Linked DNA regions of Saccharomyces cerevisiae S288C. Changing the gene in region 2 together with the main gene of any one other region gives a genetic interaction. Each region holds a gene or a part of one and is shown on either strand. Other genes may lie near its edges.

Region 1 (3,678 bases), on a different chromosome or scaffold from region 2:
GACGCCAACGGCAATAAGCCTGACAACGGTCCCTCAACGTGGCAGTTCAATTTTGAATTTGACCCAAAGAAGGAAATCATGTCCACAGAATCGTTAGAATTACTCAGAAAATCAGGTATCAACTTCGAAAAACACGAAAATTTAGGCATCGATGTATTTGAATTTTCGCAGCTTCTAATGGACTCTGGTTTAATGATGGATGATTCTGTTACTTGGATCACATACCATGCGGCATATGATCTAGGTTTCCTGATCAACATTCTAATGAATGACTCCATGCCCAACAACAAGGAGGATTTCGAGTGGTGGGTCCATCAATACATGCCCAATTTCTACGACTTAAACCTGGTGTATAAAATAATCCAGGAGTTCAAGAACCCTCAATTGCAACAATCTTCACAACAGCAACAGCAGCAGCAATATTCACTAACCACACTTGCCGATGAGTTAGGGCTACCAAGATTCTCTATATTTACTACTACAGGCGGCCAGAGTCTATTGATGCTTCTATCCTTCTGCCAATTGAGCAAGCTGTCTATGCATAAGTTCCCAAACGGTACGGATTTCGCCAAGTACCAAGGTGTCATATACGGTATTGATGGGGACCAATGATCATTTATGTACTATATGTATACACAATTTTAAAAAAAAAAGTTTAAAAGCAACATCAGCTTATGATTGGACATGTAGTAATACAGATTGGTTCTTCGATGCAATAAGCACTCTTCCACAGGAGATTGATGCGTTATTCCCGTATAGTTATCGGTCACGTGCGCTGTAGTTTGTTTAACCATTTATTTTTTCTTGGAAATTTTTTCGTCCAAAGCAGCGAAAAACATCAGGTGGCGATTAATGAAAGAATGACATATTGCAAGCAGCATAACCGTCCATTCCAGGGATAAGAGGAAGTACAAGCTTCTTTATTAATAGTTCTAGAGTGACTACATTATTTCAGATTAGGCAATATTACCTTTTCGTACCGTTTTTTTTTCCTGTCCACTGTTACTATTGTTACGGTTAAAAGTTCTATCGCAACCGGCGGACGTTAAACTAAGTCATTTGTTTTTTATCCCATTACTGTTTCAAAAAAGAGCAATTCATACCTAATTTGTACAAAACGAAGACTGTACAAGTGGTAGTACTTGACATAGGATATTTTGCTTGAGTATTAGAAGAATACGAAAAACTTCTTCAGTTTTCTAGTTACCGTTAGTACCAAAACTATTCTAGAGGAAGAATAAACAGTAAGATATTGCTTTAATTTATTTATATCACCTACCACAAGCTTTCGTTTTTTTACTCTGTTTAATTCTTCAAGTTGTGTTTTTTCCCTACATTTTAATTCATTTTTGCCCATTTAATTACATTTTTTTTTTTGTTTTATTATTTTCGTTCAAACCTCATTTTCTTTCAAATATTCAATTAGTCAATCATTTTACAGAGAATCTGTTGAAAACTTATTTTACTGATACATCTTTATTTTTCGTTGATTTTTAAAGAGAAAAAGATCACGAAGAATACTACAAAACCATCGCATTTTTTTTTTCAAGTGTGTTATAGTTTTATTACCTTGTCACTAATAGTTGCATTTGAAGTCATACCCTCGAATAGAAGTATCAAATAAAAGAAAATGGGTGTTACCGTTCAAGACATATGTTTTGCCTTTTTGCAAAACTACTACGAAAGAATGAGGACCGACCCTTCCAAATTGGCATATTTTTATGCAAGTACAGCCGAGTTGACGCATACTAATTATCAGTCCAAGTCAACAAACGAAAAAGATGACGTTCTTCCAACGGTGAAAGTTACTGGACGTGAAAACATTAATAAGTTTTTTTCTAGAAATGATGCCAAAGTTAGGAGCTTGAAACTAAAATTAGATACTATAGATTTCCAGTACACTGGGCACTTGCACAAAAGCATTCTGATCATGGCCACGGGTGAAATGTTTTGGACAGGAACTCCGGTCTATAAGTTTTGTCAAACATTTATCCTGCTACCATCCAGCAATGGGTCTACGTTTGACATTACCAATGATATAATCAGATTTATTTCCAATTCATTCAAGCCTTATGTCTTAACAGATGCTTCTTTGTCACAATCTAACGAGGAGAACTCTGTCAGTGCAGTTGAAGAAGATAAAATAAGGCATGAGTCCGGAGTTGAAAAAGAAAAAGAAAAAGAAAAATCACCAGAAATATCGAAACCAAAGGCCAAAAAGGAAACGGTCAAAGACACAACTGCGCCAACTGAATCGTCAACTCAGGAAAAACCAATTGTCGATCATAGTCAACCTCGGGCTATACCCGTCACTAAAGAGTCCAAGATTCACACCGAAACGGTACCATCTAGTACTAAGGGCAACCACAAACAAGATGAGGTCTCTACAGAAGAGTTAGGAAACGTTACTAAACTAAATGAAAAATCTCACAAAGCCGAAAAGAAAGCTGCACCAATCAAGACAAAGGAAGGCTCTGTTGAGGCCATAAATGCTGTTAATAACTCTTCTTTGCCCAACGGTAAAGAAGTTAGTGATGAAAAACCGGTACCTGGGGGCGTAAAGGAAGCTGAAACTGAAATTAAACCAATAGAGCCACAGGTTTCCGACGCCAAAGAATCCGGCAATAACGCTTCAACACCTTCATCTTCTCCAGAGCCCGTTGCGAATCCACCAAAGATGACATGGGCCTCAAAGTTGATGAATGAAAACTCCGACAGAATTAGCAAAAATAATACCACGGTTGAATACATCAGACCTGAAACACTACCCAAGAAACCGACTGAAAGAAAATTTGAAATGGGGAATCGGAGGGACAACGCTAGTGCTAACAGCAAAAATAAGAAAAAACCAGTATTCAGCACCGTTAACAAGGACGGCTTTTATCCAATCTACATTAGAGGTACAAATGGCTTAAGAGAAGAAAAATTGAGAAGTGCCTTAGAAAAAGAATTCGGTAAAGTTATGAGGATAACAGCTGCAGACAATTTTGCCGTCGTCGACTTTGAAACTCAAAAGAGCCAAATCGATGCTTTAGAGAAGAAGAAAAAGTCAATTGATGGTATTGAAGTATGCTTAGAAAGAAAAACAGTAAAGAAGCCCACGAGCAATAATCCTCCTGGCATATTTACTAATGGAACACGTTCTCATAGAAAGCAACCCCTAAAAAGAAAGGACTAGTCAACCACAAGCCTTTTAAAAAGAAAAATTGAAAAAATAATAAAAAAATTTGAAAAAGAAAAAAAAAAATCATAAAACCAATCTTAAGAAAAACCAAAAAAAAACCGCTAATTAAAATCTAAAAAATTGAAACAAGAAACTGTATGATTAGTAACTAATATACTGGCGCGGAAGGGAATGAATGCCATTTAAATGAGATGATTATGAAAATATAGCGTAGAGTAGATGCGCGAAACCGAGGCAGAAAAGAAAAAGAGACAAGTTAAAAATTGAATATAATGATATATGGGCACTTTCTTCTGTGCTAGGAAACGGAGGTAGAAGGGGATAGCAAGCTTGAGCAGTAATTAAAAAAAAAAAAAAGCATATTGATAGATAGCTCATTTGTAGTTAACTGACGACATTTATGTACATAATTAAAATAGAAGAAAATTTTCAAAAAAAATTCTCCTGGCGATTGTTAGGGACAAGAAAACAAGCCATGTTGTAACCAATAAATG
Region 2 (2,795 bases):
ACCAAAGAATGAGTAAATCTCCTCTTTTCAGTACTTCCAGATTAGTCTTCAAACAGCTTTTGAGTTTTTAAAATATAAACCGCCTCTTAGTTCATAGGCAGTCTCCACGCGATGCCGCCACTTCTCCAATTTCTTGATAAATAAGGATGCTTCCTACATTCAAAGATTTCAAGCTATTCACTAAAATAACACCAATAATTCGTGGGTAACCACATTTGCAAATTGTTGATATATAACAGGCTAACTTCGGAGCACGCTCTTTTATCTGGTTGTATTATTGCCGTAAGGGGCAATAACGGTATATAAAAATTTAATATTAAATAGGAAAAGTAAAATACGAATGGAGGTAGAAAATAGTAATATTCTAGGAAAGAAAATGCTAGGAGAACAAATGATACCTGATTTTCACAATTTTATGACGAAGTTTCTCCATTATTTTCATTTTCGTTTTCAATTTCGCCTAGGATTTCATTTCGAATTTTTTCTTCTTTCTTTAATAGTTAGGTTTTAAAACCACCACTTTTCGTCAAATCAACATCTTTGGATTCAAGTTTCTCAACTAACTTGAGTCGTTGTAGTTCTTGCCACCTTGTCAGTTGAGCTTGTTTATGTAATTCAAATCCAAATATTTTTGGAACATATCTTTTAGTTGGGTGTTTGGGTACCATATCTGGAAATGCTTGCAAAAACATACCTGGAAAACTTGTTCCAAAGTATGCACCATCAATGGAACTATGTCTCGATGATTTTGGTATATAAAGATCCTCACAAGATGGACAATATAACTTGACACAATCTATACCAGGAATGTCATGCAAACCAACCGGTAACAACTGTTGTAAATTACAATACACACGGGGACATCTTCCAAAGTCCGCCTCTTTGTACTTAGCGTACATTTTTTGCAATCCTTTGATAGTTATAATGTAGCGTGCATGGATGAGACCATACAGCTTCCGGGAATCTGATTCTAATTGTTCTAAACGGGCATGTGTCATATTCTCTAGGATACTATCATCCAAATCATCCACAATATATTGTACCACGTAGGAAAATTTTGAAACTGTCTTTTGCAAGTTCATCAGATTAAAACGATCAGTGATGTACTCAGGATCGACATCACAGAAATATTCATGGCCTTTTCTCCCAAGAAATAAATCGATCCACATATCCACGTATTCCGATGAGTCAGAGTCATCATCCATGAGGACATCATCTTGTTCCACTCTGGAGCCTTCTCTAGTCACTGTTCCCACATTCTCCGATCTACTGCCCATGATCTGCTTTTCTATCAGTTCTCTAAGTCCCTTAATCTTGAATAATTTGAAAAAAGCTAGTATTTCTCAAGTAAAAGATTGATGAAAAAATACAGCAGGAAAATTCCACGTATCTGGAATGACCAACTTCTTTAAGAATGTGATTTACTTATTCTATTTGGTGCTTGTTTTCATTTGATAAAGGATTGCCAATACACCTCCATTTATTCGCTTTCATATTTTTTCTTCCTGGAAGGTCGACAAAAAAAAGCGCGAAAAAAATATCAGTTAATTCGGCTAGAATTATGAAGTCTTCATAAAACAATATACAAAAAGTGCTAAATCGTCCATACAGAGGAATACGCCACGCAGCAAAGGAGTTCCTACACAATCCGGAACAATGAGATTATTAAAGTATCCTTTGGATATTCATAATGAACAAGTGAATGCCTTAGCTGCCCTTGGTCCCTATATCATATTGGCAGGCAGTGGGGGTCACGTGATGGCGTGGAGACAACAACAACTAGTCGATACTGCATTCGATAGGGTTATGATTAAGGATTTAAAGCCAGAAGTTTCTTTCCAGGTGGATCAGGATACTACCGGTGATATTTTTTTCATAACAGGTGATCTCGAAACATTGTATATTGGATCTGAACATCGTCTGTGGGGTTATTCAGGTTGGCTCTGTAGAGATACAAATAACATCAATTCTGTCGAAAAAATGAACAGTAAGCTTCTGTTCGAGTGTAAATCTCCAAGCACAATAACGGATGTGAAATATGACATAAACTTAGGTATCTTATTTGTTCTTTTAAGTAATGAAAATAAGATACTATTATTTCGGCATAAAACCTTTGATAAACTCTCTGAAATAACTATTGACAAGGCGAGCAAACCTATTACAGGCATAATAGATCCTACTGGCCAAACTTTTACTGTTATGACTTCAGATAGATCAATTTTAGTCTATCAAATTAACAAAACGGGTACACACAAACTCATAAATAAACTTACGCAGCATGTACAAATGTATCCATTACATTATAGAATCTCAATGTCACCTCAGGCAGACATTTTACCAGTGATAAACTCGGTGAAAGGTGTGCCGAATAATGCTACCAGCTGTACCGCTTTACTTGACAGAAATAACAACTACAAAGTTACAAAAACACTGGTAACACCTTCTTCAAATGGATGTAGAGTTCTTGTTTATTCTCCAGCATTTTATGAAAAGCCTAATTTGAAAAAGGGCACCAGCACACGCTATAATTTAATCGCCACTTCGGGATCTACAGACGGTACTATTTTGGTTTGGAATACGAAGAGAATGAAACCTTTGTTTAATGCTCTCCAGGTTTCCTCCACCGCAATAAACGATATGTCTTGGTCACAGGATGGGTTCACCTTGTTTGCCATTTCAAACGACGCGACATTGTATACATTCGCATTCCAAGAGAAGGATTTAGGTGTAGCATTGCCTCAAACGGAAATCAAATCGTTACAAGAAGTAAACAAAAAGCTTCCAAAGCTTGAAGA
Region 3 (2,656 bases), on a different chromosome or scaffold from region 2:
GTTGCTCTAATTTTTCTGTGATCTTCATATTGCGATGTGGTTGTAGTAGTAACTGTGGTGGTTCTGTTTGCTGATAACTTTAGTTTAGGGAGACTATTTCAATCAAGGGGAGCAAGGCAAACTACACGAAACACAAGCTGTGGCATTAGCTTTTCCACGAGCGAAATATCACCTTTTTTTTTCTACTTTTCGTATATATGATATATATACGTATATATATATATACATACAAACATATATATATATATATATATATCAAATTTTGGAAAAATTTGAGTCAAAGTTGCATATGCAATATTCACAGTCTATAATCCGAGGGATAGAATGACTAAACGACGGCCCGCTACCGGGAGAAAAGTCGCTGTTATTTTTTCAGTCGCTCGTGGTCTATCGCCAACTTTTCCTGAGTCATACTGGACGTAGCGCGGCTGCGTCGCGAGCGTAGACAAGGCCTGTCACTATGTACGCAGCTAGCAATCCAGACATGTGCTCACGTACGGTGTGGAAACGGGACGCCACCGCAGTCAACAGCAGCTGCCATAACCACGTGACCAATAGCGTCAGCAGTATGATTACTGGGTGGTCGCATGCTATGCATCGCGTCAAACGGAGCAGGGCGGCCGCGCACGTGACAGGCGGCTCGACTATCGCACGCCACAAACGGGCGCCACAGGTCATTGAGCCGCCGCCACACCGCCGCCACGTCCATAGCGGTCCAGTGTCGAAAAGGCGGGTCACCAATCGTACAAGCTGCCATTTCTGCGCGTACAAGTGAGCCAGTGCACGACGCCCAAACACACGTAGCTCACCTAGAAGAAACATGCACATCAAGGTGGCCAAGAACACGTGCCCGGATGGATCGTGTCCTCCAGCCCAATGGCCTCCAAAACGTCTGCACTGTGCCGAGGTGGTTAACGGACCTTGCCACCTGTGCATCTGGTCATGAATAAAAGTATTGATGGCAGCGGCAGCGCTGGCCGTTACGTTTTTTGGGGTTTTCGGTTGCGTCGCCTGCAGGGCGCCCTGGATCGACCCTATGGAGCGGTCCCAGAGTTGTTGCTGACGGTGTTCTTGGTGGTGTCCGTGCAAAGTGAGGACATTGTGAATGAGCGCCAACGCGCGATTAGTCCGGGTGACAGAACCCTGGAAGTCTTCGTTCACGTGACCTGCATCATCGAAGACGTCATAGTGACAATGGCCACCCGTATATACGAATACCAAGTCCATGATGGGGCCTACGCCAAACCATATACCTTGCGTGAATACGTACCACCACACTGTCAGTATGGCATACCTTTTGAATGACTGGACAATGTGTCTTCGGTCTCTGCCGGTTGCCCCCGGCACCGCACGGTAGCGTATAATACACCACCATCCGACCAAGGAAGTCCAAAACCACCCTTTCTTTACCAACATAGCATTTACCAGACCATCCTTATTCAGGGTTGCTTGCAGCGCCGCACCGTAGCCATACGCGTTCATGAGATATCCTACCAGTACCGTCAACGGGCACACCAGTAGGTGTATAGCATTAAACCATTTGCTAGACATTGTTGTAATATGCCGTGCTTTATAGCTGGTTTCAGTGGAGTTTTAGGCGTTTCCCCTTTGGCTTTTTTCGAACAGTTCGTTTTGTATTTTATTTCACGGTTTTCCCGCTAACGTGTTCTTAAAGGATGAAAAAGAAAAAGAAATGCAGGAAAAATGAGGCAAAGTAAGCCAAAACTTATAGCACTCATAAGACGGCAAAGTTCCCCCAAGCTCCACCCAGGATGTCAAGCACTAATGGAAACGCACCAGCGACACCTTCCTCGGATCAAAATCCTCTCCCCACGAGGTTCGAAGTGGAGCTCGAATTTATCCAGTCACTGGCAAACATCCAATACGTAACGTACTTACTCACTCAACAGCAGATCTGGAAGTCTCCTAACTTCAAAAACTACTTGAAATACCTGGAGTACTGGTGCAACCCCCCTTATTCGCAATGCATTGTGTATCCAAACTGTCTCTTCATTTTAAAGCTGTTGAACGGGTTCATGGAGTCGGCGATCGTTAATGAAGATGGCCTGCTGGAAGGGCTAGACGAGCTGCCCAAGATCATTCAATTACAAGGCCCGCAATGGATGAATGAAATGGTAGAAAGATGGGCCAACTGAACACACCTAATTATAACTACATTCGCACGCATTCATATATCTATTTTATACACTCATGAATATATATACACACACACACATATATATATCACATATATACATATATATATGTATATATATATGCAAGCCGCATTACTTTGTATTTTCTTTCCTTTGTTTTCCTTGCATATTATCTCGCAAGACATTAGAAGATGAAAGCAAAATCAAAAAGCAAGTCCATCGCCGTACTACAAGCCTCGCCACGACTATGCCAGGACACGAATTGGAAGACGTAATAAATCAACGTTTGAACCTATATGATGTATTAGAATTACCGACCCCCCTGGACGTCCATACCATCTACGATGATTTGCCCCAAATTAAACGCAAATACAGGACCCTTGCCCTGAAGTATCATCCTGACAAACACCCGGACAATCCATCAATTATACACAAATTCCACTTATTATCGACCGCAACTAATATCCTCACCAATGCAGACGTGAGACCCCATTACGACC

What was found. A genetic interaction does not mean that the proteins touch.
Region 1: mutations in CKB2 (region 2) and BRE5 together harm fitness more than expected from each alone (negative genetic interaction), as found in Saccharomyces cerevisiae (4 studies listed by BioGRID).
Region 3: mutations in CKB2 (region 2) and SOH1 together harm fitness more than expected from each alone (negative genetic interaction), as found in Saccharomyces cerevisiae (5 studies listed by BioGRID).

Annotation. Positions count from the first base shown.
Region 1 is NC_001146.8:716,280-719,957, reverse strand, and holds BRE5 (Bre5p), read left to right. Parts: upstream 1-1,630; coding exon 1,631-3,178; downstream 3,179-3,678. Other genes in the region: CCR4-NOT core DEDD family RNase subunit POP2, read left to right, coding at 1-612. UniProt on the Saccharomyces cerevisiae protein: Has a role in de-ubiquitination. In conjunction with UBP3, cleaves ubiquitin, leading to the subsequent mono-ubiquitination of sec23.
Region 2 is NC_001147.6:404,250-407,044, reverse strand, and holds CKB2 (casein kinase 2 regulatory subunit CKB2), read right to left. Parts: upstream 1,278-2,795; coding exon 501-1,277; downstream 1-500. Other genes in the region: HIR2 (Hir2p), read left to right, coding at 1,657-2,795. UniProt on the Saccharomyces cerevisiae protein: Regulatory subunit of casein kinase II/CK2.
Region 3 is NC_001139.9:269,892-272,547, reverse strand, and holds SOH1 (mediator complex subunit SOH1), read left to right. Parts: upstream 1-1,772; coding exon 1,773-2,156; downstream 2,157-2,656. Other genes in the region: methylenetetrahydrofolate reductase (NAD(P)H) MET13, read right to left, coding at 1-28; SCS3 (Scs3p), read right to left, coding at 409-1,551; U2-type spliceosomal complex subunit CWC23, read left to right, coding at 2,404-2,656. UniProt on the Saccharomyces cerevisiae protein: Component of the Mediator complex, a coactivator involved in the regulated transcription of nearly all RNA polymerase II-dependent genes.